3 linked regions of the Caenorhabditis elegans genome follow. The protein of the gene in region 1 purifies or fractionates together with the protein of each later gene. This does not show direct contact. Each region holds a gene or a part of one and is shown in the gene's direction. Other genes may lie near its edges.

Evidence for each region. Proteins that work in one complex are often made in the same cells at the same time.
Region 2: the proteins of F45H10.2 (region 1) and ndua-2 fractionate together in Caenorhabditis elegans (co-fractionation; one large-scale study listed by BioGRID). This does not show direct contact.
Region 3: the proteins of F45H10.2 (region 1) and rps-12 fractionate together in Caenorhabditis elegans (co-fractionation; one large-scale study listed by BioGRID). This does not show direct contact.

The regions. Positions count from the first base shown.
Region 1 is NC_003280.10:13,488,822-13,496,728, reverse strand, and holds F45H10.2 (Cytochrome b-c1 complex subunit 8), read left to right. Parts: upstream 1-3,680; 5' UTR 3,681-3,686; coding exon 3,687-3,866; intron 3,867-4,652; coding exon 4,653-4,745; 3' UTR 4,746-4,841; downstream 4,842-7,907. Other genes in the region: drr-1 (MARVEL domain-containing protein), read left to right, coding at 937-1,017, 1,070-1,159, 1,214-1,420, 1,467-1,613; ndua-7 (NADH dehydrogenase [ubiquinone] 1 alpha subcomplex subunit 7), read left to right, coding at 2,136-2,208, 2,278-2,467, 3,235-3,478; alh-7 (Succinate-semialdehyde dehydrogenase, mitochondrial), read left to right, coding at 4,955-5,131, 6,285-6,965.
Region 2 is NC_003279.8:14,108,994-14,116,051, forward strand, and holds ndua-2 (NADH dehydrogenase [ubiquinone] 1 alpha subcomplex subunit 2), read left to right. Parts: upstream 1-4,642; coding exon 4,643-4,815; intron 4,816-4,859; coding exon 4,860-4,926; intron 4,927-4,971; coding exon 4,972-5,010; 3' UTR 5,011-5,092; downstream 5,093-7,058. Other genes in the region: dnj-29 (J domain-containing protein), read right to left, coding at 239-452, 1,072-1,315, 1,810-1,918, 1,979-2,215, 3,583-3,738, 3,799-3,914, 3,975-4,098; TLC domain-containing protein fld-1, read left to right, coding at 5,214-5,276, 5,492-5,719, 6,174-6,329.
Region 3 is NC_003281.10:5,674,584-5,682,153, forward strand, and holds rps-12 (Small ribosomal subunit protein eS12), read left to right. Parts: upstream 1-4,714; 5' UTR 4,715-4,746; coding exon 4,747-4,763; intron 4,764-4,794; exon of another isoform or gene 4,795-4,926; intron 4,927-4,992; coding exon 4,993-5,130; intron 5,131-5,161; exon of another isoform or gene 5,162-5,292; intron 5,293-5,297; coding exon 5,298-5,565; 3' UTR 5,566-5,604; downstream 5,605-7,570. Other genes in the region: par-3 (PDZ domain-containing protein), read left to right, coding at 138-313, 665-1,319, 1,473-1,598, 1,651-1,813; F54E7.9 (N-terminal methionine N(alpha)-acetyltransferase NatE), read right to left, coding at 2,176-2,405, 3,032-3,305; ska-3 (Spindle and Kinetochore-Associated protein homolog), read right to left, coding at 3,479-3,684, 3,731-4,018, 4,062-4,242, 4,292-4,405; pst-2 (Adenosine 3'-phospho 5'-phosphosulfate transporter 2), read left to right, coding at 5,915-6,021, 6,127-6,199, 6,253-6,374, 6,791-6,996, 7,044-7,570. UniProt on the Caenorhabditis elegans protein: Part of the small subunit (SSU) processome, first precursor of the small eukaryotic ribosomal subunit.

The DNA.
Region 1 (7,907 bases):
TAACAGAAAAAATGTTTTTACCACAAAAAATTGAAATTTTTTTTTTCAAAATTCCAAAAAAAAATAAACATTTTTTTAGCTCAGCCAATTTTTTTTTCGATTTTTTAGAAATTTAAAATTTACAAAAAAAATCTGCAATTGTACAAAAAAATCCGGAAATTTGGGAAAAATCAGTAAAATCAGGAAAAAAGTCTGTAAAATTTGGAAAAAAATCTTAAAAATTTACAGAAAATCTGGAAAATTTCCAAAAAAAAATTTGGAAAATTTGGAAAAAAAATCTGTAAAATTTCGAAAAAAAATGTGTAAAATTTGGAAAAAAATCTGTAAAATCAGGAAAAAAATCTGTAAAATTTGGAAAAAATCTGTAAAATTTGGAAAAAAATCTGTAAAATTTGGAAAAAAAATCTTAAAAATTTACAGAAAATCTGGAAAATTTCCAAAAAAAAATTTGGAAAATTTGGAAAAAAATCTGCAAAATTTCGAAAAAAATCTGTAAATTTCGAAAAAAAAATCTGCAAAATTTCGAAAAAAAATCAGTAAAATTTGTAAACAAATCTGTAAAACTTCGAAAAAAATCTGTAAAATTAAAAAAAAATCACATATCACTTTAAAAAAAACCTAAATTTAAAAAAATTCAATAAAAAGTCCGCAGCAACAAAAGTTTTAAACTACAGTACTCTTTTTAAAGACGCACACACCTTTTCGCATCTAACAAAAATTTGTCGTGTCGAGACCCCGGGAACCGTATTTCTATCACCAATAATACACTACAAACTACACAATAACCCCCAAATCATGTGAACTATAATGTTTACTGATAAGATACGTGTGTGAGCACAACAACAGACAGAATCACTGTGCACGTATTATTACAGTTTTAATCGATAAAATTTCGAATTCGCTGAATTTTTTTTGCAACACAAAATTTAAAAAAAAATGCAAACTCTTGGAAACATATTCGAAAATGAGGATAACGTTTTTCTCAAACTTCCACACTATTTTAAGCCATTGCAAGCGGTATGTTTATTGATTTTTTTAATTTCCCGATGCACCATGTTCAATTTTTCAGATTAACGCTGTAATTCTGGCGGTTTGCATTGGATCGACGGCTTCCGGGGATAATGGGATTCTTTGGTTTACTCTAATTGTTCAATTAATTGTTAGTTTATCCTTTTATTAAATTTTTACCCCCATCAACCCCCTGAATTTCCAGATTTCCGCGGCGGCAACGGTAATCTTCGCCCTGCGGATTCAGGATGAGCTCATGGAGAGTATTTCGAATGGAAGCATCGCGTGGAATGTCGTGGAGCTCGTGTATTCCTTTATTTTGGCGGTCCTCTCCGTGATTTCCGTCTGGCTTTCGTTTTCGTTCGCGAATCGGTCGCTTTTCGGCACTTCTGCGGGATATATTGCTGCTGGGGTGGGTTTTAAGGGGGATTTTTAGGCAATATATATGTTAATTTCAGGTTTTCTTCATCGTACAAACAATTTTCTACGCTGTCCCATGTACTGTAATCTATCGTGAGGTACAGACAACTTCGGATACCGAACGTCAGAATATTGTGATCGAACCAGCACATCCATTCCGTTCTAATGCTTATCAAGACTTGTGATTTTGTAGATTTATTCATTTTTCTTTTTTGCTTATTTTCACAATAAATTATTCTTTTATTGACTCTAAAAAGCCCGACTTTCAACTATAAAATCATGTTTATTTATATAAATTAATTACCATAGGCACATTGCCCGTAAAATGTGATGCATTGTGTGCAAACACCGTGACGCGCAAATGCACCAACTGACGACCGGTCATTTATTTATTTACTTTTTAATCGCTTTCTTTTCAGATTTTATCGATTTTCCGTGATTTTTTATGGATAATTTTGTTGAAAAATCAGTTAAGCTTGTTATTAGAGTTATTTTAAGTCGAAAATCCAGATCCGAATCGATTTGAGCAAAATTTGGCTGAGAAATGCTATTTTGAAGAAAAATGGTTTTTTTTCTTCTAAATTGCTAGTTTTCTCCAGTTTTTTTCTTGGAAAAATCGAGAAAAGCTCGTTTTGTTTATAATATATATTTATTCTAAGCCAAGCTTCCCAATTTGTTTATAAAAATATAAATTTTCCAGACCGACAATGAGCGGTCGCAAAATTGCGGCGGCCACTGTTCAAAATCGCACCCAGACGCCATTCTGGAACTGGCTTAAGCGTAAGTTTTTCTTTTTCCGTTTTTTGCGCTCCAATATTAACAAATTAATGAAAATTTAGAAATTTCCAGAAAAGCTGTTGGCTTCCGACCGACTCCCCATCACCCCGCCACCAGGAATCGCCGGCCCGGACGGAAAAGCAGTCTACCAGAACCCTCTCCGCTTCCCAAACACCCAATCCGCTCGTCCTTGCTCCGCAGAGCTCCCGGCTCTTCCAGGAGGTGTTCATCACAAGCTCGCTGATAATTATTACTTGACAAGGTTCAAAAAATTCCACCCTGTGGGGAAATTGCTTTAAATCACGCCTTTGGTACCACAATGACCGAATATCATGATAAAAAAATTTAAAAGTTTTTTCTAGATTTTATATGATTTTTTGAAAATTGAAAAATTCTCAGTTTTCACCCCTAATTTCTATTTGAATTTCCGCCAATTGAACTCGTTCGTTGGAGCGCGCTTGCATTATTTTCGTTAATTTTTTAAAATTTATTTTCATTATTTCACTGATTTTCTCTATTTTTTTGGGGTTTTAATCGGAAAATGAAAGAAATAAGCAAGAAAATTCACAGTCCTTATTAAAAAGTAGCCGAAAATGCCTATTATGCGATCCGACGACGACGAGCCTGAAATTAGTATTAATCAGAGTTTTAGCCATTTTCAGTTACTTCTTAATAAAAATTTTGCATTTTTCTTGTTTATTTCTTTCATTTTCCGATTAAAAACCTTCAAAAAATAAAGAAAATCAGTGAAATAATGAAAATAAATTTTAAAAAATTAACGAAAATAATGCAAGCGCGCTCCAACGAACGAGTTCAATTGGCGGAAATTCAAATAGGAATTAGGGGGGAAAACTGAGATTTTTTCAATTTTCAAAAAATCATATAAAATCCAGAAAAATTTTTAAAATTTTTTTATCATGATATTCGGTCATTGTGGCCCCATAGGCATGTTTTAAAGCAATTTCCCCACAGGGAGTAGTCCATTAAAAATTTAAATTCTCTCAAAAAATCATCAAATTTTTTTTGCAGAGACGGCCGCCGAAACGTCGATGCTCCGAAAGTGCTCTACTCGTCTGGCGAGTTTGTTGGAGGAGAAAAAGCACAGCCAGCGCAAGTGAATCAAGGAGTCGCCACAAACTTCGGATTGACAGCTCCAACCCCTGGTTTTGGAGCCGAATGGAGCCGATCCAAGCAGAATGAGCTGGCCAGCCAGCAGAAGAACACCGAATTCGAGTATTTGCAGCGTTTCGACAAGTTCACGAAGAGCGCCTAAGCGTTTTTTTTTTGTAAATTAATTTTAGTGGTTCAGAATGTGACAGAAATGAAGCTTTTTTCTCGCGGTTTTTAGGGGTTTCCCTGCATTTTTTCCCTTTTTCCTGGTTTTTGTAGCCTTGAAATATCGATTTTCTTTGTTATTTTACCATTTTTATTATTCTAATTTATCAATTAAATTTTCCAAATACTTCCACTTCCAGACAACAATGAGACCGACCGTCGTTTCAATGGGCAAACACTTTGGAAATCTCGGCAAGATGTACGGAGAGCACCGCTTCGCGCTTGCTCCAAACGAGCAAAAGGCCTACAAGGGATTCTTCGATCAGGCCTTTGTTAAGACCTTCAAGACCTACGTCTGGGATCAGTGGTATTACTACATTCCACAGGTAGCCTTGGAAAATTGGAGAGAAAAAAAATTCCGGTTTTCAATGATTTTTAAGCTGAATTTCGTGATTTTTAGCGAAAAAAATCAGAAATTTTGTGAATTTGAGCACCGTTTCACACAAAAAAACCGGTCTTGCAAGCCTGCGGCACAGTTTAATGAGTGTCGATTTACGAGGGGTTTTGTACTACACGTGGACAAGTTGGAATTTGTTTTTTCCACCTGGATTTGAAGTTTTTGCTAGTTTTTTTGCAGTTAACATTCGAAATGGGCCCGGAAAATCGAAAAATTGCATTATTTTAACTAATTTTTTTTATTTTTATAGAGAAAAACAGGTACTTTCCGTCAAAAAATAAGAAAAACCGCCCTTTTTCAAAATAACAATACTGGTTTCCAGCAGATTTACACAATAAAGCGAAAAGCTCACTTTTTTTGTGTAAATCTGCTGGAAACTAGTATTGTTATTTTAAAAGAAACCGGTTTTCCAATTTTTCAACAAAAAAAAACTTGAAATTTCTGCCATTTTTCTTATTTTTAGACGAAAATTAGCTGTTTTTCTCTATAAAAATTTGACAAAATTAGATAAAATATTGCAATTTTTCGTTATTTTCAACAAAAAATTGTTTTTTTTTTTTTCGATTTTCCGGGCCCATTTCGAATGTTAAATGCTAATAAATACACACTTTTGCACCACGTGTAGTACAAAATCCTCCGTAAATCGACAGGGCTCTCAAGGCTTGCAAAACCTCTTTTTCAGGCCGAAAAAGCCCGTTAATCTCTAATTTTCCAGACCATCGGAGCCTACTTGCTCTACGACTGGGCCAAGAAGACGAACGTCGCCGCCAACCGAAAGAATCCAGCCGACTTTGCCAACGATCAATAATAAGCCGCCGGATATCTAATTCTCTCGATTTCTGTAGTCTCCTTCTTCATTTTTTTGTGTCGCTGATTGTCGTTTCTAGTGAATTTTAAATTTAAATCGATTTTTTTTTGTAAAAAAAGAGGCAATTGATCCTCCCGATATGTTTTTTTTTACTTTTTTTAACTGAAAAATTGCAATTTCCAATTTTTTTTGTTCAGCCGAGCGCAATAATGAATCGGCTTTCCCAATTCAAACGGAGCTACTCGTTGCTCCCACAAGGAGCTCAAGCGTATATTGGCGGAAAATGGACGGCTTCTGAGACGGGGAACTCGTTTGATGTGCTCAATCCGTTTAATAATGAAGTTGTCGATAGAGCTACGAATTGTACTGTTAAGGATGCGGAGAAGGTTGGGGAAAATGGGGGAAAAAAACTGAAATTTCTGCATTTTTTCGTTAATTTTTACAAAAAAAATGCTCCTCTTTTTCCTGAAAAATTGGGAAATTTGAGCCAAAAATGCGTGATTTTGCTCAAAAATACGGTATTTACTGGGTCTCGAAACGACTTTTTTAAAATTAAATGCGAAAAGGTGTGCGCCTTTAAAGAGTACTGTAGCTTAAAAGTTCCGTGTTTGCGGAATATTTATCGATTTTTCATGTTTTTCAATGAAAATATATTTATTTATTGAAAAATATTAAAACAAAATTCTAAAAAAAACATGATTTTTCGAGAAATCGATAAAAGTTTCGCAGAAATAAAAATTCAAAACTACAGTACTCTTTAAAGGCGCACACACTTTCGAATTTAACAAAAAGTTGTCGCGTCGAGACCTGGAACCACAATTTTTGGGAAAATGGGGAAAACTGAAATTTCTGCCTTTTTTCATTAATTTTTATGAAAAAAAAATTGATTTTTTCTGGAAAATTTGGGAAATTTTAGTCAAAAAATGACTAGTTTCGCAAAATTTTGCTCAAAAATACGGTACCGGCGGGTCTCGACGCGGCATTTTTTGTTAAATGCAACAGGATAAAGGGGGGATGCGCCTTTAAAGAGTACTGTAGCTCCAAACTATTGGAATTTTTATGAAAAATTGAAATAAAACTGAAAAAAATTGATGAAAATTCCCAAGCTACAGTACTCTTTAAAGGCGCACTCCTTTTCGCATTTAACAAAAATACAAAAATTGTCGTGTCGAGACTCCTGCCACCGTATTTTTGGAGTAAAATTTAGCGAATTTAGGATTTTTTGACAAAAATTACCCCCAATTTTTCAGTCAAAAATTAACGTAAAAATGGAGAAATTTCAGTTTTTTCGTTAAAATTTACAAAAAAAAAATGCAGGCATCACGTGGTGTCAGAGTGTCTCTCATTTCGGCTTGATCTACGTAGATCTACAAAAAATGCGGTTCTCAACTGATTTCGCATGGCTAAGAACGTGCTGACGTCACATTTTTTGGGCAACAAAAAATTCCCGCATTTTTTGTAGATCAAACCGTGATGGTGACGCATCTGAATTTTTCAAAAATTCAAAAATTGATGACCGACATTTTTCTCACTTTCCAGGCCGTCCACTCAGCGCTAGAAGGCTTCGACAAATGGGCCCACACCTATTCAGCGAAGCAACGAGGCGCAATTCTTCACAAATGGTTCGAAATCCTTGTCCAACGTGAAACCGAGCTAGCCACCCTTCTCACAAAAGAGCAAGGCAAACCGCTGGCCGAGGCTCGCGGCGAAATCCAATACTCGGCCGCCTACTTCGACTGGTACGCCGGAGAGGCTCGTCGTGTCTACGGACAAGTCGTTCCGTCGGCCGTCGTAAATCGTCTCCATCTACACACCCGTGAGCCGATCGGAGTTGTAGCTCTCATCGCGCCATGGAACTTCCCGACTGCAATGATTGCTCGGAAAGCGGCGGCGGCGCTTTCTGTCGGGTGCTCGGCAGTCGTGAAGCCATCTGGAGATACGCCGCTTTCAGCGTTGGCTCTTGCTCAGACTGCTGAAGAAGCTGGGATTCCGGCCGGCGTGTTCAATGTGATCACTGCAGATCACTCGAATACTGCCGAGATTTCCAAGTACCTTTGCGAGTCTACAGATGTGTCGGCGATCAGCTTCACTGGAAGTACCCCCGTTGGAAAGTTGCTTCTCGCACAGTCAGCGTCGACTGTGAAGAGAGTTTGTCTGGAGCTCGGTGGAAATGCTCCGCTGATCGTTTTCGATGATGCTGATCTTGATGTCGCTGTGAATGTTAGTGTTACACAAAAGGAGTCAGAGTCAGAAAGTCCCATTTCGCTTTGATCTACAAAAAATGCGGGAGAAGATCTTCTCGAGACGCGCAGACATCTGATCTGATTTCGCAGCGTGCTGACGTCATAAATTTTATGGGAAAAAAATTCCCGCATTTTTGTAGATCAAACTGCGCAGTGAGACAGCCTGACACCACGTGGCGTGTTACAGTATTACGTCTGGGTCTCGCCACGCGAACACTGAGATACAGTGAGATACAGTAACTGAGCCTCAACGTGGCGAGACCCAAATTGGCTCTTTGTTGCACAATGCCCAGGGGTGGGCGGCAAACGATTTTTTCCGGCAAAGGCAAATTGCCGGGATTGAAAATTTCTGGCAAATCGGCATATTACCGGAAATTTTCAATTTTCCGGCATATCGGCAAATTGCCGGAATTGAATATCTCTTGCAAATCGCCAAATTGCCGGAATTGAAAACTTCTGGCAAATCGGCAAATTGTCGGGAATTTTCAATTCTCCGGCAAATGGGAAAATTGCCGGAATTGATAATTTCTGGCAAATCGGCAAATTGCCGGGATTGAAAATTTCTGGCAAATCGGCATATTACCGGAAATTTTCAATTTTCCGGCAAATCGCCAAATTGCCGGAATTGAAAATTTCAGGCGAATCGGCAAATTGCCGGAATTGAAAATTTCTGGCAAATCGGCAAATTGTCGGGAATTTTCAATTCTCCGGCAAATGGGCAAATTGCCGGAATTGATAATTTCTGGCAATTCGGCACATTGCCGGAATTGAATATCTCTTGCAAATCACCAAATTGCCGGAATTGAAAATTTCTGGCAATTCGGCACATTGCCGGAATTGAAAACTTCTGGCAAATCGGCAAATTGTCGGGAATTTTCAATTCTCCGGCAAATGGGCAAATTGCCGGAATTGATAATTT
Region 2 (7,058 bases), on another chromosome or scaffold:
CGTATTTTTCGACGAAAACTGCACAATTTCCGAAAAAAAAACATGGGAAAAATTGAATATTCAGACTACAAACTACAAGTTGGCGTAGCCTCACCAAAAATTAATGAGTTTCGGTTGAGGCTCACACTACAAACTACAAATTTCTGACTTAAAATTTTCATTTTTAGAGCATTTTTCATCAAAAATAGCTCATTTTTAACGGTTTTTTCGACAAAATGGCTTATTTTCCGGCACAAACCTTTCTCAAATGCTGTAAATTGTAGTCTGTAATGTGTGGAAGCTGAAGCAACGGGCTATTCTTTTGCCAAAGCGCCTGAACGAACATTGGTTGCAATTTCAGAAGATTATCGAACGTTTCGATGGAAATCTTCGTGTGTTGGGAGTAGTTCATCAGATTTTGCGAGCAATTCACCATTTCTTCGACGAAACGCAGAATTCGGGTGATTATGTAGCTGAAAAATGGGTTTTTTTGGCGATTTTTGGAGGAAATTTCGAGATTTTCAATTAAAAATCGGTATTTTAAAGCGGTTTTTATCGAATATTCGCGAAAAATAGTGAAATGTTGGCAATTTTAATGCTATTTTCAGAAAAAATGCATTACAAATGAAAATTTTAATTCAAAAATTTGTAATTTTGGTTGAGGCTACGCTAACTTGTAGTTTGTAGTCTGAGAATCCAATTTTTCTCACTTTTTTTCGAAATTTGAGCAGTTTTCGTCGAAAAAGATCAAATTTTACAAATTTTCTGGATGTTTTTTTGTGGAAAAATATGAATTTTAACACATTTCAAACCGTTTTTCGCCGAAAAAAATTGGTTGAGGCTACGACAATTTGTAGTTTGTAGCGTGAGCCTCAACCAAATTTGGGTGAGACTCCCAAACTGTGTAGTTTGTAATGTAAGCCTCAACCAATTTTTATCACAAAATCGCCAAAAATAGTGAAATTTTGGCAATTTAAATTATTTTTCCAGATTTTTTTCGCTTTTCGGGTCATTTTTCATCGATTTTTATGAATTTTCCATCAAAATTGTGCGATTTTTATGCTTTTTCCTGGGTTTCCATCAATTTCCAACCTCTGATCCTCCTCCAACGCATCATTTTGCGATTCCAGTGGTAATCTCGACAGATACGCGTGTAAAAGTACACGAGATTTCAGTGCATACGGTTGGCTCAACGGTTGCTCTTTTCCCTTATCATTAACACCGGCAATCTGTTTCATGAGCCTCGGAACCTCATAATCATCAGTTTCTCGTTCCTGAATCTCCTTATTGTACTGTTTGCTGAATTCGAAGGATCCAGAGAGCACGGCGATCATTCCTAAAATTAAAAATAATTGATTTTCAGGGTGAAAATGTATTTAAAACTTGGCAAAAATGCTGAAAAACCGAATTTTTAGCTTTGAGATTAATAAATTTCCAGAAAATTTGGATTTTCCAGCACAAAATTGCGATTTTCTGTTGAAATTAGTGGTTTTTTTTTTGTAATAAATTTGAATTTTTTTTTCGTGGAAAACCAGGACTTTTGTAAAAATCGTCAAAATTTGAGTTTTTTGCCCAAAAAAATTGCCAAAAATCTGATTTTCTGGGTGAAAACCAGTCAAAACTCAAGTTTCCTGCATGAAAATTGGCAAAAATCCGAATTTCTTAGCGGAAAATCGTCGAAAACTTTCAAAATTCCATTATTGTATGGAAAATTGCCTAAAAATCAATTTTCAGGATGAAAAATTGCCAAAAATCCGACTTTCTGGGTGAAAAATCGCCAAAAAAGCAATTTTCTGGCTGAAAATTTGTGGAAAAATCGATTTTCCTCACTTCCAATCTCCATTCTCGGTGTCCGATTGATGAAATAATAGTACATTCGTGTGGTGTCCAGAAGAACCTTGTCAGCGCTGTATTTGATCGAGCTATACCACCACATTCCCTGAAAAATCGATTTTTCGCGAAAATTTCCAATTTCCGCCATTTCCAGCGCCAAACTCACAACAGAAACGGGCAAAATGATCATAAAAATGAGCCCATAGAAAGCGAGCACCCAGAGTCCGTATTCTTTGCTCACAAGCCATTTGGGCAGAGCAATTCCGAAAGTTGTGGCAGTTGGGCCGTCTGGATTTCCGTATTTTTCCCAGTTTTCGCGAGCTTCTTTATCGGTGAGAGCCTGGTGAGCCTTGGCGATTTTATCGAAGAATTGAGCGTCTCCTCCACGATCCGGATGGTGAATCTGCAAAAAATTGGGTAAAAATTCCAGATTTTTGAGCATTTTTGTGGGGAAAAAACTGAAATTTCAGAAATTTTAAGGCGAAAACAGGGCAAAAATCATGTTTTCCCGAGAAAAACTGTCTGAAATTCAATAAAAGTGCCCGAAAATTCAGTTTTTGGGTGAAAATTGCAATAAAATTTGGGAAACAGTGGGCTTTTCCAGTAAAAATAGCCAAATTTTCAGTTTTTTGGCGAAAAATTATGATTTTTATGGTACTTTCCACAAAAAATTCCTTATTTTACGGCGATTTCGCACAAAAATTTGTTGAGGCTCACACTACAAACTACAAAAACTATCAGCCTCACCAAAAATTACTGAAATTTCAGAAATTTTAAGGCGAAAACAGGACAAAATTCATGTTTTCTCGAGAAAAACTGTCGGAAATTCAATAAAAGTGCCCGAAAATTTAGTTTTTGGGTGAAAAAATGCAATAAAATTTGGGAAACAGTGGGCTTTTCCAGTAAAAATAGCCAAATTTTCAGTTTTCTGGGCGAAAAATTATGATTTTTATGGTATTTTCCACAAAAAAATTCCCTATTTTACAGAGATTTCGCACAAAAATTGGTTGAGGTTCACGCTACAAACTACAAAAAGTGATTAGCCTCAACCAAAAATGCATGATTATTGGTTGAGGCTCACACTACAAACTACAAAAATCTCCAGCCTCACCAAAAATTAATGCAAATTTTTAGCCTAAAATTCCTGGAAACTGCAATTTTGGAGGCAAAAAAAGTCAAAAAAATCGATTTTCAAGCCGAAAAAGGTCGAAAATAAGCTTTTTTTTCGAGAAAATATCTAATGGAGTGAAATTTCAAGATTTTGAGGCTTTTCTGTGGGAAAAAATAAATTTTCAACAATTTTAGCGAAAAAATTGGTTTTCAGCGGAAAAAAAAACCAAAAATATAGATCTTGACGCAAAACCGACCGAAAATTGCAAAAAATTTAGTTTTAGAGTAAAAATTGCAATAAATTATGAAAAAATTGGGTTTCTCCAGTAAAAATAGCCTAAATATTAGATTTATTGGCGAGAAAGTGTTTGAAAATCAGGTTTTTGCAAAAATATTTCGATTTTCGAGGCATTTTCCACGAAAAAATCCATATTTTACGGAGATTTCGCACAAAAATTGGTTGAGGCTAACACTACAAACTACAAAATTCGCGAGCCTCAACCAAAAATTAAAACAATTTTTTCATCTAAAATACTTGGAAACTGCATTTTTCGAGGTAAAAAACAGTAAAAAGTTCGATTTTCTTCGATTTTCAAGCTGAAAAATGTCGAAAATAGGGGTTTCTCAGTAAAAAATCGCCGAAATTCCAATTTCCAGCACCTTTGACATATCTCTCCAGGCCTTTTTGATGGCCTTCTCGTCGGCGCCCTGATCCAGACCCAAAATCTGATACGGGTCATAGTCCTTGTGAGTTTGCTCGATTTCAGTCGTTTTTTTCACAATTATCGCGAAAATTGCCCACGCTACAACGAGAACCTGCAATTTTTTGGGATTTTTAGTGGATTTTTTCCGGATTTTTCAGTTTTAAAGCCTTACAACGATGGTAATAATCTTTTTAGTCCGTCGCCACGGCTTATTCGCCGCTTTTTGTCGTCTTTTCTTGTCACAACCGTCGCATTGGCACTCGTGTTCGTTGATCACGTGTTCTGGTTCTAAAAATACGAAAAAATACGAAAAAATTATGAATTTTAAGCCAAAAAATCGATTTTTACCTGGTTTCGAGGCTCCTGGAAGGCATAGGTAGGTCGCCGGGAACAGAATAATCGCGTAGAATGCCACGAGCACATAGTAAAATGTGTTGCCGACTTCGTCGTACTCAAACGACGCGCGGCCCATTTTTTAGCGATTAATTACTGTAAAAATAGTGATTTTTTGAGTTTATCAAGTGGTTTTTCGTTTGAAAATATCGAAAATAACGTTGAAAAACTGAAAAAATGTGCGATGACGTGACACTTCGATTTGCAGTGTCTTCCGCAAAACTGTGCGGCGGTGTTGCAAAATTGCGTGCGCCACTTGCAAAAAGGGGCGGAGTCATTGGTTTTTGATGATTTTAATGGGTTTTTCGTGATTTTTAACTCAAAAAATTGAGAAAAAACTTGTTTTAGCACTAAAATTTGATAGATTTAGCAAAATTTAGGCAAATTTCCTAAAATATCAGCAATTTTCAAAGACTTTGCTCAAAAAACATGAAAACAGCAAAACTGTGCGTAGGAGTTGCAAAATACCGCGCGCCGCGCTTGCCAAAGTGGGCGGGATCACGGGTTATTTATTTTTATAATAAATTTCGAAAAAAATAATCGGTTTTTGTTGGTTTTATTGGATTTTTCTGCATTTTTTAAAGTTTTTTTTTGATTTTAAAGCTTAAAATATCGATTTTCAGATGTCTGTCCGTCTTGCCGGCACCGCTCTTCGCGAGATTCGCATCCACGTCTGCCAGAAAAGTCCAGCATCGGCGGGAGTCCGCGCGTTCATCGAAAACGACTATGTTGGAATCAAAAAAGCCAATCCACAGTTCCCAATTCTGATTCGTGAGGCGTCTGGCATCGTGCCAAGGTGGGAAATTATCGATTTTTGGGTGAAATTGCGGTTTTTTGCAGAGTTTTCGCCAGATACGAGCACGGAGTTGAGCGAGTCGCCACTTTGGAGGATTTGTCGAGAGAAAATGTAGGATTTTTGGTGGAATTTAATGCCGAAAATCGATATTTTCAGGTCAAATCTACTATTACTCAATTGGCGTCCCAGAAATAACCTGGCGAAGAGTTTAGAGTCGAAAAAAAATTCTAATTTTTTAATTTTTCCTGTAGAAATTCATTGAATAAATCGTTTTTATAGCTTTTTTAAGCGAATTTTTTTGAATTTTCCGGGTATTTTCACCCAAAAACCTACTGTTTTACCTATTTTTCCGTAATATTTCCAATTTTTATCAGTTTTTTTTCAGACAGTTCTGGAAAATGCGGCAGCTGGCGGAGCTGTTGACGGATCTTCTTGGCCCAGTGCCAACAATGTTTTTATGGGTAAGAAATTCGAAATTTCAAATAATTTCAAATAAAACTCAAAAAAAAATTAATTTTTTAAATAATTTTTCGTGAAAAATTAATTATTATTTATTTCTAATTTTCCAATGAAATCAACAACGATTTCTTCGATTATTTTTGTGAGTTTTCACTCAAAAAATGCCAAAAACCCCCGATTTTCTGCGAATTTAGGCCCAAAAATCCATTTTCTCCAGGTAATCGTCTCATTTGCCTTCTTCCGAGCCCTGCAATTCATCGTTCGTTGGTACTTATTTGGCAAATGGACGTGGCCGAACTTTAACTTTTTCGACATCCGAAACCGCATTCGGAGGAGACGGAGAGGCGGTCAAGAAGCTGAAAATACTGAAAATCCGCCTGAAAATGAGGCAGAAGCCGGCGAGCAGGTCGAACAGGAGCCCGAGCCCGACAGCAGAGATCTGTCGGTGAGAATTCAGAAATTTACTGCAAAAAAAATCCAAAAACTAGGAAGTTTGAGCTAAAAAAGCAGTTTTTTTTTTCGAAATTTGAGCATTTTTTGTTGAAAAATATCGATTTTACAGCATTTTAAGCAGTTTTTCATCAAAAAAAAAGTTGGTTGAGGCTACACAAATTTGTAGTTTTTAGTCTTAGCCTCAACCAATCAGCTTTTGCTTCAAAACGCCGAAAATTGTTGAAATTTCTATCAAAATCGCTTATTTCTAGAGTTTCTACTACAAGTTTCAATAAAAACTTTACAAAAACGTTGAAATTCTTTCCCAAAACTCCTGAAAAGTGCTCAAAACTTGGTTGAGGCTACACAAACTTGTAGTTTGTAGTCTGAGCCTCAACCAAATCAGCAAATCAGCCAGAAAATATAAATTTTTCCGAATTTTTACCTAAAAACTCCACATTTTCCAGGCTATCCCACCGAATAAGAAATGGCGAATCTCCAACGAATGTGTCTCACTATTCCACTCGGTTATATCAGGATTATGGGCCGCCTACGCACTTTTATACTATAAACAGCTCGTTCAGGACCTCGTTAATTATCGATGTGACGTTGCAATCAATTTGGTTAGATTTTAGCGAGAAAATTCGGAAAAAATGACTAAAAAACTCGAATTTCGAATAAAAAAAACCAAAAAAATTGGTTGAGGCTACACAAACTTGTAGTTTGTAGTCTATAGCCTCACTCAATGAAATCAATCAATTTTCCCCACAAATAATGCAATTTAGTGCTAAAAATTGGCAATTTTTCAACTTTTCTCAACCAATTTGTGAGTTCTGTCCATATTTTGAGGAAAAAAAATCAAAAAATGTCGATTTTGTAACAAAAAAGCACGGAAAACGTTGGTTGAGGCTGAACCGAATTTGTAGTTTGTAGTCCCATCGCTTCAACCATCATTGAGTCACGAAGAGACTACAAAATACAAAAGTTGAACGTTTTTGCTCAAAATGTTGCGATTTTCATCGAATTTTGTTCGTTTTTCTGCAATTTTCGCCGATTTTTTTGTGAGAAATTGCCAAAAATTTCGAATTTTCAAGAAAGTTCCGAGTGAATTAGTGAAAAAAAATTTGTTGAGGCTCTCAAGTTTTTATAGTTTGTAGTCTATAGCCTCACTCGACGAAAAAATCAAATTTTCTTCACAAATAATGCAGTTTTGTGCTGAAAATAGTGTATTTTTCACATTTCCTGCCTATTTTTTAAGAAAAAATGATTTAAAAATTCAAAAAATCTCGATTTTCTACCAAAAAAGCATTGAAAACGTTGGTTGAGGCTCTCAATTTTTTGTAGTTTGTAGT
Region 3 (7,570 bases), on another chromosome or scaffold:
CATTTTTAAAAGAATCTATAGAAAATTAAAATTGTTTGAAAATGTTTGATTGAATTTTGCAGTTCTCGAACTACATGAATAACCTACATTAAACCCCAAATGTTCGAATATTTCCAATCAAATTTCTATTATTTCAGACTTCCGGATATGAGTCGTACGCCGACTCTGAGCTCTACGATCGATACGCGGCCCATCGCTATCACCCGCGTGGGGGCCCAATCATCGATGAAGACGAATACATTTACAGACAACAGAGTACCAGCGGTAATTCACCGATCAACACGTCGTCCTATGTCAACTATGGATTACCAGCGTAAGTATTTTGATATTTGTTGAAAATATCTGAAAAAATTAAATTTAACATTGGCGCAAAACTAACAATTTGGTTTTCCAGAAAAAAAATGTTCTAACTTATCTTAAACATTAAAAATTTCAGAGTTATCTCATTCCGAGACCCAAAAATCTATTTTTGTTTTTAAAATGATTCTCGTCCGCAAAACTTGGGGAAAAGAATACAAAAAATCTGAAAATTAAAATTTGCAATTTTTGTAAAAATCGAGAAATTTCAAGCAAAAAACAATGTAATATTTTCCTGAAAATAATTTGCATTTTTTCTAAAATATTCAACAAATTTCTAAAAATTAATAATTATTTGTATTTTCAGATCTAATGCGTACCATGTCGGTTCCCGAATACCACCACAAACCTCCAGTGGAAGTATCTCGAAAACCAGTGGAGCGATGCGTCGTGTCTATCCCGCCGAATACGATGAAGACGTCGCCTACCATCAACAAATTCCCCAACAATCAACGAGATATCAACAGGGTAGCGGTAGTGGACGTGGTAACGCCGACTACCATCACATGTTCAACTCGTGGTTCGCGTACACTGGCGGTGGAGCAGTCGGCGCCGCTCCGGTCATCAAGTCCTCGTACGGATCATCGCCGGTACGGATCGCAGCCGCTTCGGCCATCGAACGAGGCGAATCGTTCGTCGTCGAGCCCGTCAGTGGTTCGTCGGCCTCGGCCACTGACCGTCGGGGACGGAGCACTTCGAGTGGAGCCGTTGCCTCTGGATCATCATCAACTGGGTTCCAATATGCCGCGAAGGAGAAGTATGCGGATGCTCGATCTGGAAAATTCAATGGTGGATCGACCCGACTCTTTATTCCAAGACACGGCGGTGGGCTCAGCGCGGCTGCGTTTGCAACAAACTTCGGGGGAGAAGCCTACGAGACACGTGGTGGAGGAGCCGGCGGCTCGCCGAGCCAATACCGTCGCAGAGATCAGGGACCGCCTCATCGTTTTCCCCAGTACTAGGTCAGTTTTTTCTCAAAGTTATATTACGCAGCCGCGAAAAATACGGAATCCGTAAAAATAAACGGTGATGCGCCTTTAAAGAGTACTGTAGTTCCGAACTTTCATTGCTGTGCAAATTTCAATAGATTTTTTATTCATATCAATAATTTTCAGATTTCCAATAGCTGCCTCATCAATGCGTGTATCATCAGCGGCACAACCGCTTGCGAATTCTGTAAACCTACGATCTGTATCAAATAATAAAATCAACGATAATTCCGCTGAGCGAATCTCATTAAGGTACGTCCACCATTTGACTTTTCGAACAGTTTCCATATTTTTTGATTTTCAGAGCCAGAAAGAAGCTTCATCGAGAAGCAGTAACACGAAGCGAGTTCTTCTTGCCACCGTCGTATTCAAATGAGAATATCAAACTGTTCAACAGTCTCCTTCCGCCATCCACATCAAGTATCATGACAACAAAGACCCCGTCACCTACGACGCCGAAAAATTAAAGATTCTATGGCTTTATATATATATATTTAATTCCTCTATAATTCTCCTTTTCACTTCTCCCTCGATATCTATAACTCACTTCTAAAAAGCCGGTTCTTCTTATTCTAAACATTTTAGTAGGGAATTATCTCTATTTCTCTCTCCTGTTGAATTCATAGCCGTCGTCCATCTCTGTGATGTTTTCTATATTGTTTGTATTTAGTAGCCTCCCGAATCAAATCAAATCCATTTTTATTCTGTTTAACATACTTCTTGTTTTATAACGAATGTTGTTGTGAGCTTTTAGATTCAAGATTTAAAAACAAAATCAATCGAATGAATCTGGTGAATTTATGTTTCAACTTTATCTTTTTTATGTAAATTAATGGAATGGCTTTCGCATGATAAACGCATCAGGAGGACTGCATCGTTGATAGTATTGTGGAACGAGACAATCCACGTTGAAGCCGCGGTTCTTGTAGAATTCGATCGCAGTTTTGTTGGAAGTCTGCACATGGAGCATCGCGTGAGGCAATTTCAATAATTTTCCCTTTTCGTCGACGAAATCCATCAGAAATGAGCCGAGACCAGCTTCGCGGTGACGGGGATGAACTGGAAAAAATAAATTTTTGCAAATTTTGTTTTCAATTTCTAAAAATTAAAAGTTATATTTTAGAAATCAGAAAATTGTCCGCAGTTTTAGAGAAAAATGGAAAGAAAGTTCAATCTTCAATTAAAGAATTAAAATAAAGTGGGAAAACACTGTAAAAAATGTTTTTTAAATTTATTTTTGGTTTTTTCCAATTATTTCAGTAGATTTTTCAACACTTTTTTGTTTCTTTTTGAAAAATGTATCAAGAAATTTTTTTTGAGAATACGAAATAGATCTTTTTAAAGTATTGATTAATCATATTTTGAAAAATATTTTTTAGATTTTGCAAAATTTACTTTTTATCAAAATGTTACTTTTTCTACAAATTTTTGAGGTTAAAATGACACTTTTAATTAGAAAATAGCTTCGAAAAAATTTTAACTGAAAAAAATGGAAGATCTTCTAAAAAACGACTTTAGTGAAAATCAATTTAAATCTTAATTTTTTAATTTTTGATTTTTGTTTTAAAACCAGACTTTTTTCTGAACTTTGAGACCATATTTTAGAATTTTTAGAAAACTTAATTTTATAACATTTTTCTTGAATTTTAAATGAAAAAATCTTAATTTCTCAAAAATTTACAAACCTCCAAAGCTTCTTATATAAAGTACGCGTCCTGTTTCGAAATTCTCGGGCTTTACAGCAACTATGGCGATTGCCTCGCCGTTTCGTATTACAACTCCTGTTAATTCGTTATTCATACATTCTTGATAAAATTTGTCGCTGTACGACACCGGAAATATGCTTGAAACGAGGATTCGAACTGTTTTTATGTTTTCCGCAGTCACTCGTTGCAGTCGAAGTTCAAGAGAATTATCGGTTGATGGTGATGAATGTGATAAACATTCCTCTTCTTCCATTGCTGAAACTTTGTCTAAAACGTTGACTAGAACATGCGAAAATTCTAAAAATATTCACAGTTGAAAACTGGTTGGATTTTCAAATTCATTTGATTTCATTTTCAGAAAATTGTATTCATATCCACATTTGTACAGATAAATAAAATAATATTTAGTATCAAAAATTCAGAAAATCAATCCCTTGTCTGATTGAATGCTCGACCAACTGAAGATGTGAAGACGGGCGGTGCTTGTAGGGAAAATAGATCAAGAGGATTCCGTTCTGGAGCTCTGGATGGAGTTCTTTGTGGTTTTCTTGCTGGAGTTTGCAGTTCTTCATCGTCCAACTCATCAAAAGCCAGTTTTCGTCGTTCGTTGGATGTATTCACCATTGATATGTCTGAAATGGCATGTTTTTATTGCAAAGACAAACTAATTCAATTTACCATGTCCGTTTATCAAAGAATCATCAAGACTGTAGCTTTTGGTCTCCGGAATATTTTCTTTCTTTTCAGTCCTTCCTGTCATCACCAATGATGAAAATGTTGGTGGTTTCATTATGGAAGCCATTACAGAGACAAGCTCCGGTTGACGTCTCGCAGATTCACCGAGAACTGATCCTTGTTCGACTGATATTTGTGGCATTTCTGGCTTTGCAAAAACTATTTTTTCCACTTTCTCAACCACGGGATTCAGAAAATCAATGCTGCCAATCCGCAAATGCTCGTTTCGTTCTGAATTTTTCTATTTTTTCGTGAAAAAATTATTGCAACTCACCTTTAGTCTCCACAATAGCTTTATCAAACGTTGTCCCCAACTGTTTCAGTTTTCCAGCGAGCGCACATTTCTTGTTCTTCAATTGCAGCTCGAGTTTCATAATTTCTACATGATCCGCCACATAGCTCTCCATTTCCTGCGTCAGTCTCATTCGCATGTCCACATCCAATTGTGCAAGAGTCTGAAATTCATGTAAATAATTTAAATGGACTGAAAGCTCGACAACTTGCCTTGTACTGTGAGAGTGTCAGCTTTTGAAGTAATTCTGGAGATTGGTTGCATCGAACGTCTTTTAGCTTCTCCAAAAAGTAAATAAGAACATGTTCCAGCGTTTCGTTAGCCATTTGACTCCTTTATTTGCCTGAAAAATGCTAATGAATGTTTGATGAAGACTGAGAAAATACAGAAAACTGTTGAAATTCAAAGCTTCCCGCGTGCAAGTCTCCGTAAATCGACAAATGGCAAGCGCGCTCTATAGCACATTTCACTGTGCCGCGACTCAAAGACATGCTGCGGAGTGATACAGAAACATTTCATGCTTCCCTCTTTTCCGTTGATTTTCCCAATTTTTTCTTTTCTTTTTTTCTTTTTCTCAAATCTTGAAATATATTTTGTGAAAACAATATTAACGAGTCGAAATTTCTAATTTTCAGGTAAGCATCAAGGACTCTTGCTGCAAACAACAATGTCTGACGCAGGAGGGTAGGTTATTTTTGTTTTTTTCTGAAAAATCTTGCACCTACCAATTATATCGGAAGATTTTGAAGTCATAGTTTTCCTATCGTAGTGTGCAATAAAAACCGTTCTACTGCCACACGGGTACTGGCCTTGAAGCTGTATCGGTTCCAAAGTTGTTCGAACAATTAGATTCCTTGTCTTAAAAGCAAAATTAAGTTTTTATGAAGGCTATTAAAATATTGGATAATTTTAGAGATGTTCAAGTGGCCCCAGCCGCCGTCGCCCAGGGACCAATGGACAAGGAAGGAGCTTTGAGAGCTGTTCTTCGCGCTGCCCACCACGCTGATGGACTCGCCAAGGGACTCCACGAGACCTGCAAGGCTCTTGACAAGTAAGTAATTGATATTTTAGTTTGTATTTTAGTTCCACTTATTTTTCAACGTCGCCGGTTCTAGAATCGATGTGACCCCAATAAGCTGGTAGATAAGTTGTTACTCTGCCACACGTGTACTGGTATCATGCTGTATGTGTTCCAAAGATTTTACAAACAATTTTCAGGCGTGAGGCTCACTTCTGTGTCCTCGCCGAGAACTGCGACGAGCCACAATACGTCAAGCTTGTCGAGACCCTCTGCGCCGAGCACCAGATTCCACTCATTAAGGTCGCCGATAAGAAGATCATCGGAGAGTACTGCGGACTCTGCAAGTACGATAAGGAAGGAAAGGCCCGCAAGGTCGTTGGATGCTCATCCGCCGTTGTCACCAACTGGGGAAATGAGGAGCAAGGACGTGCCATCCTCACCGACTACTTTGCCTCCAAGAACTAATCTGTTCGTTGTTCCAATAAATTGTTATTGTTCCCTATTTGTTCGTCTTTAATTACAAAATGGTACACATTCACAAGTTGTTGGGATAATATTTTCGGGAGCAGAAAGTATAGGAAAGGTTCTGCAATATATCACGCCGGTGAATTTTTATTTCGGTATGAATAACGTATGCATAGAGAGACGTAGCGCAGAAACTATTGCCAACGCGCAAAAAGATCGATACCCCCTTTTCAAAAGCCGTGAACGTAGTCGCGGTTCAGGCTTTCCCCAATGGACAATCTGAACAAATGCCTATCTGATTTAGATCTCAATTTCCCTTTATTTGCGCACTTTCCACCCACTCTTTCAAATGACTGCAGCTCAAATACATTCTGATTGTAGTGTTCATATGCTGCCACGTCATGTCAAAGAGGATGTAGAACCAATTCATCTGTTAGGGTTTAATATTGCCAGAAAGTGAGTTTTAATTTTCAATTTTAAAGCGGAATTTCAAAAGCGATAAAATCGAGAATACATTATGAAATCTCGAGCCGATTTAATTTGTGAATTCATGATTTTCAGACCAAAATGGCTTCAATTTGTTCTTCTTTCTTTAGCAATATTTATTTTGTACATAGGATACGGGTATATGCAGGTGAGATTAGAAGTTTACATAAAAAAATGTTTGGAAGAAAAAAAATATTTCAGGAATTAATATTCAAACTACCTGGAATGAAACCATTTGGATGGACGTTAACACTTATTCAATTCCTGATTTATAGCGGATGTGGATATACGGAATGTATTATTTGGCATAACACGAAACGAATGTGAGTTTTCAATTATTATTCAAATTTCGCGATTTGTGCGTCAGTAAATAGGTCTCGACACGCTTTTTTGTTTAATGAAATCTGATGTGTGCCTTTAAAGAGTACTGTAACTTCAAACTTTTGTTGCTACGGATTTTTTCTCGATTTTGTTTATTAATAAAATAAATACATTTATTCAAAATTTAAAACAAAAAAATTAAACAAATTAAAAAAAGGGAAAAACTGTAAAGTCGATAAAAATTCCACAGGAACTAAGGTGCGAAAGTTTGAAACTACAGTAATCTTCAAAGGCGCACACCATTTTCCACAAAAATTGCCGTGTTGAGACCGGTTTTGATGCAACAATCGCAATATTTCGCGTATATGTAGTACAAATAGTACAAAATTCAGAATTAAAAAATATTTAATTTTTCCAGGATCCCTTGGAGAATCTACGGTGTAATTGCCTTTTTCACAGTAGCAACAATGGGACTTTCGAATGCATCCGTTGGATATTTAAATTATCCAACTCAAGTGATTTTCAAGTGCTGCAAGCTAATTCCAGTGCTCATTGGAGGGATTCTGATCCAAGGAAAACGATATGGATGGATTGATATTGGTGCGGCGATGTTAATGAGTTTAGGTGAGGATTTTGGATTTTAAAAAATTAATTAAATATTTTATTTCCAGGAATTATCATGTTCACATTGGCCGATAATAAAGTATCCCCAAATTTCGATTCTCGAGGATACATCATGATTTGTGGAGCTCTTCTGGCAGATGCTGTAATTGGAAATATTCAAGAAAAGAATATGAAGAAGTACGGTGGATCTAGTAATGAAATGGTTCTCTACTCATATGGAATTGGCTCAGTGTTCATTTTCGCATTTGTCGTGCTCTCCGGTGAAGTCTTCAGTGCAATTCCATTTTTCCTGGAGAACTCGTGGAAAACATTCGGCTACGCACTGATCCTCTCATGTCTTGGATATCTCGGTGTCAACGTTGTGCTCACTCATATCAAAGTGTTTGGAGCACTTGTTGCGGTTACTGTGACAACTCTTCGCAAGGCACTGACTATAATTCTGTCGTTCATGCTCTTCTCGAAGCCGTTCACCATCGAATATGTTTATGCGGGATCTGTGGTGATGCTGGCAATTTATTTGAATTTGTACAGCAAGAACAAGACGTCTTGGGATAATATGATAAGAAGATTCGTG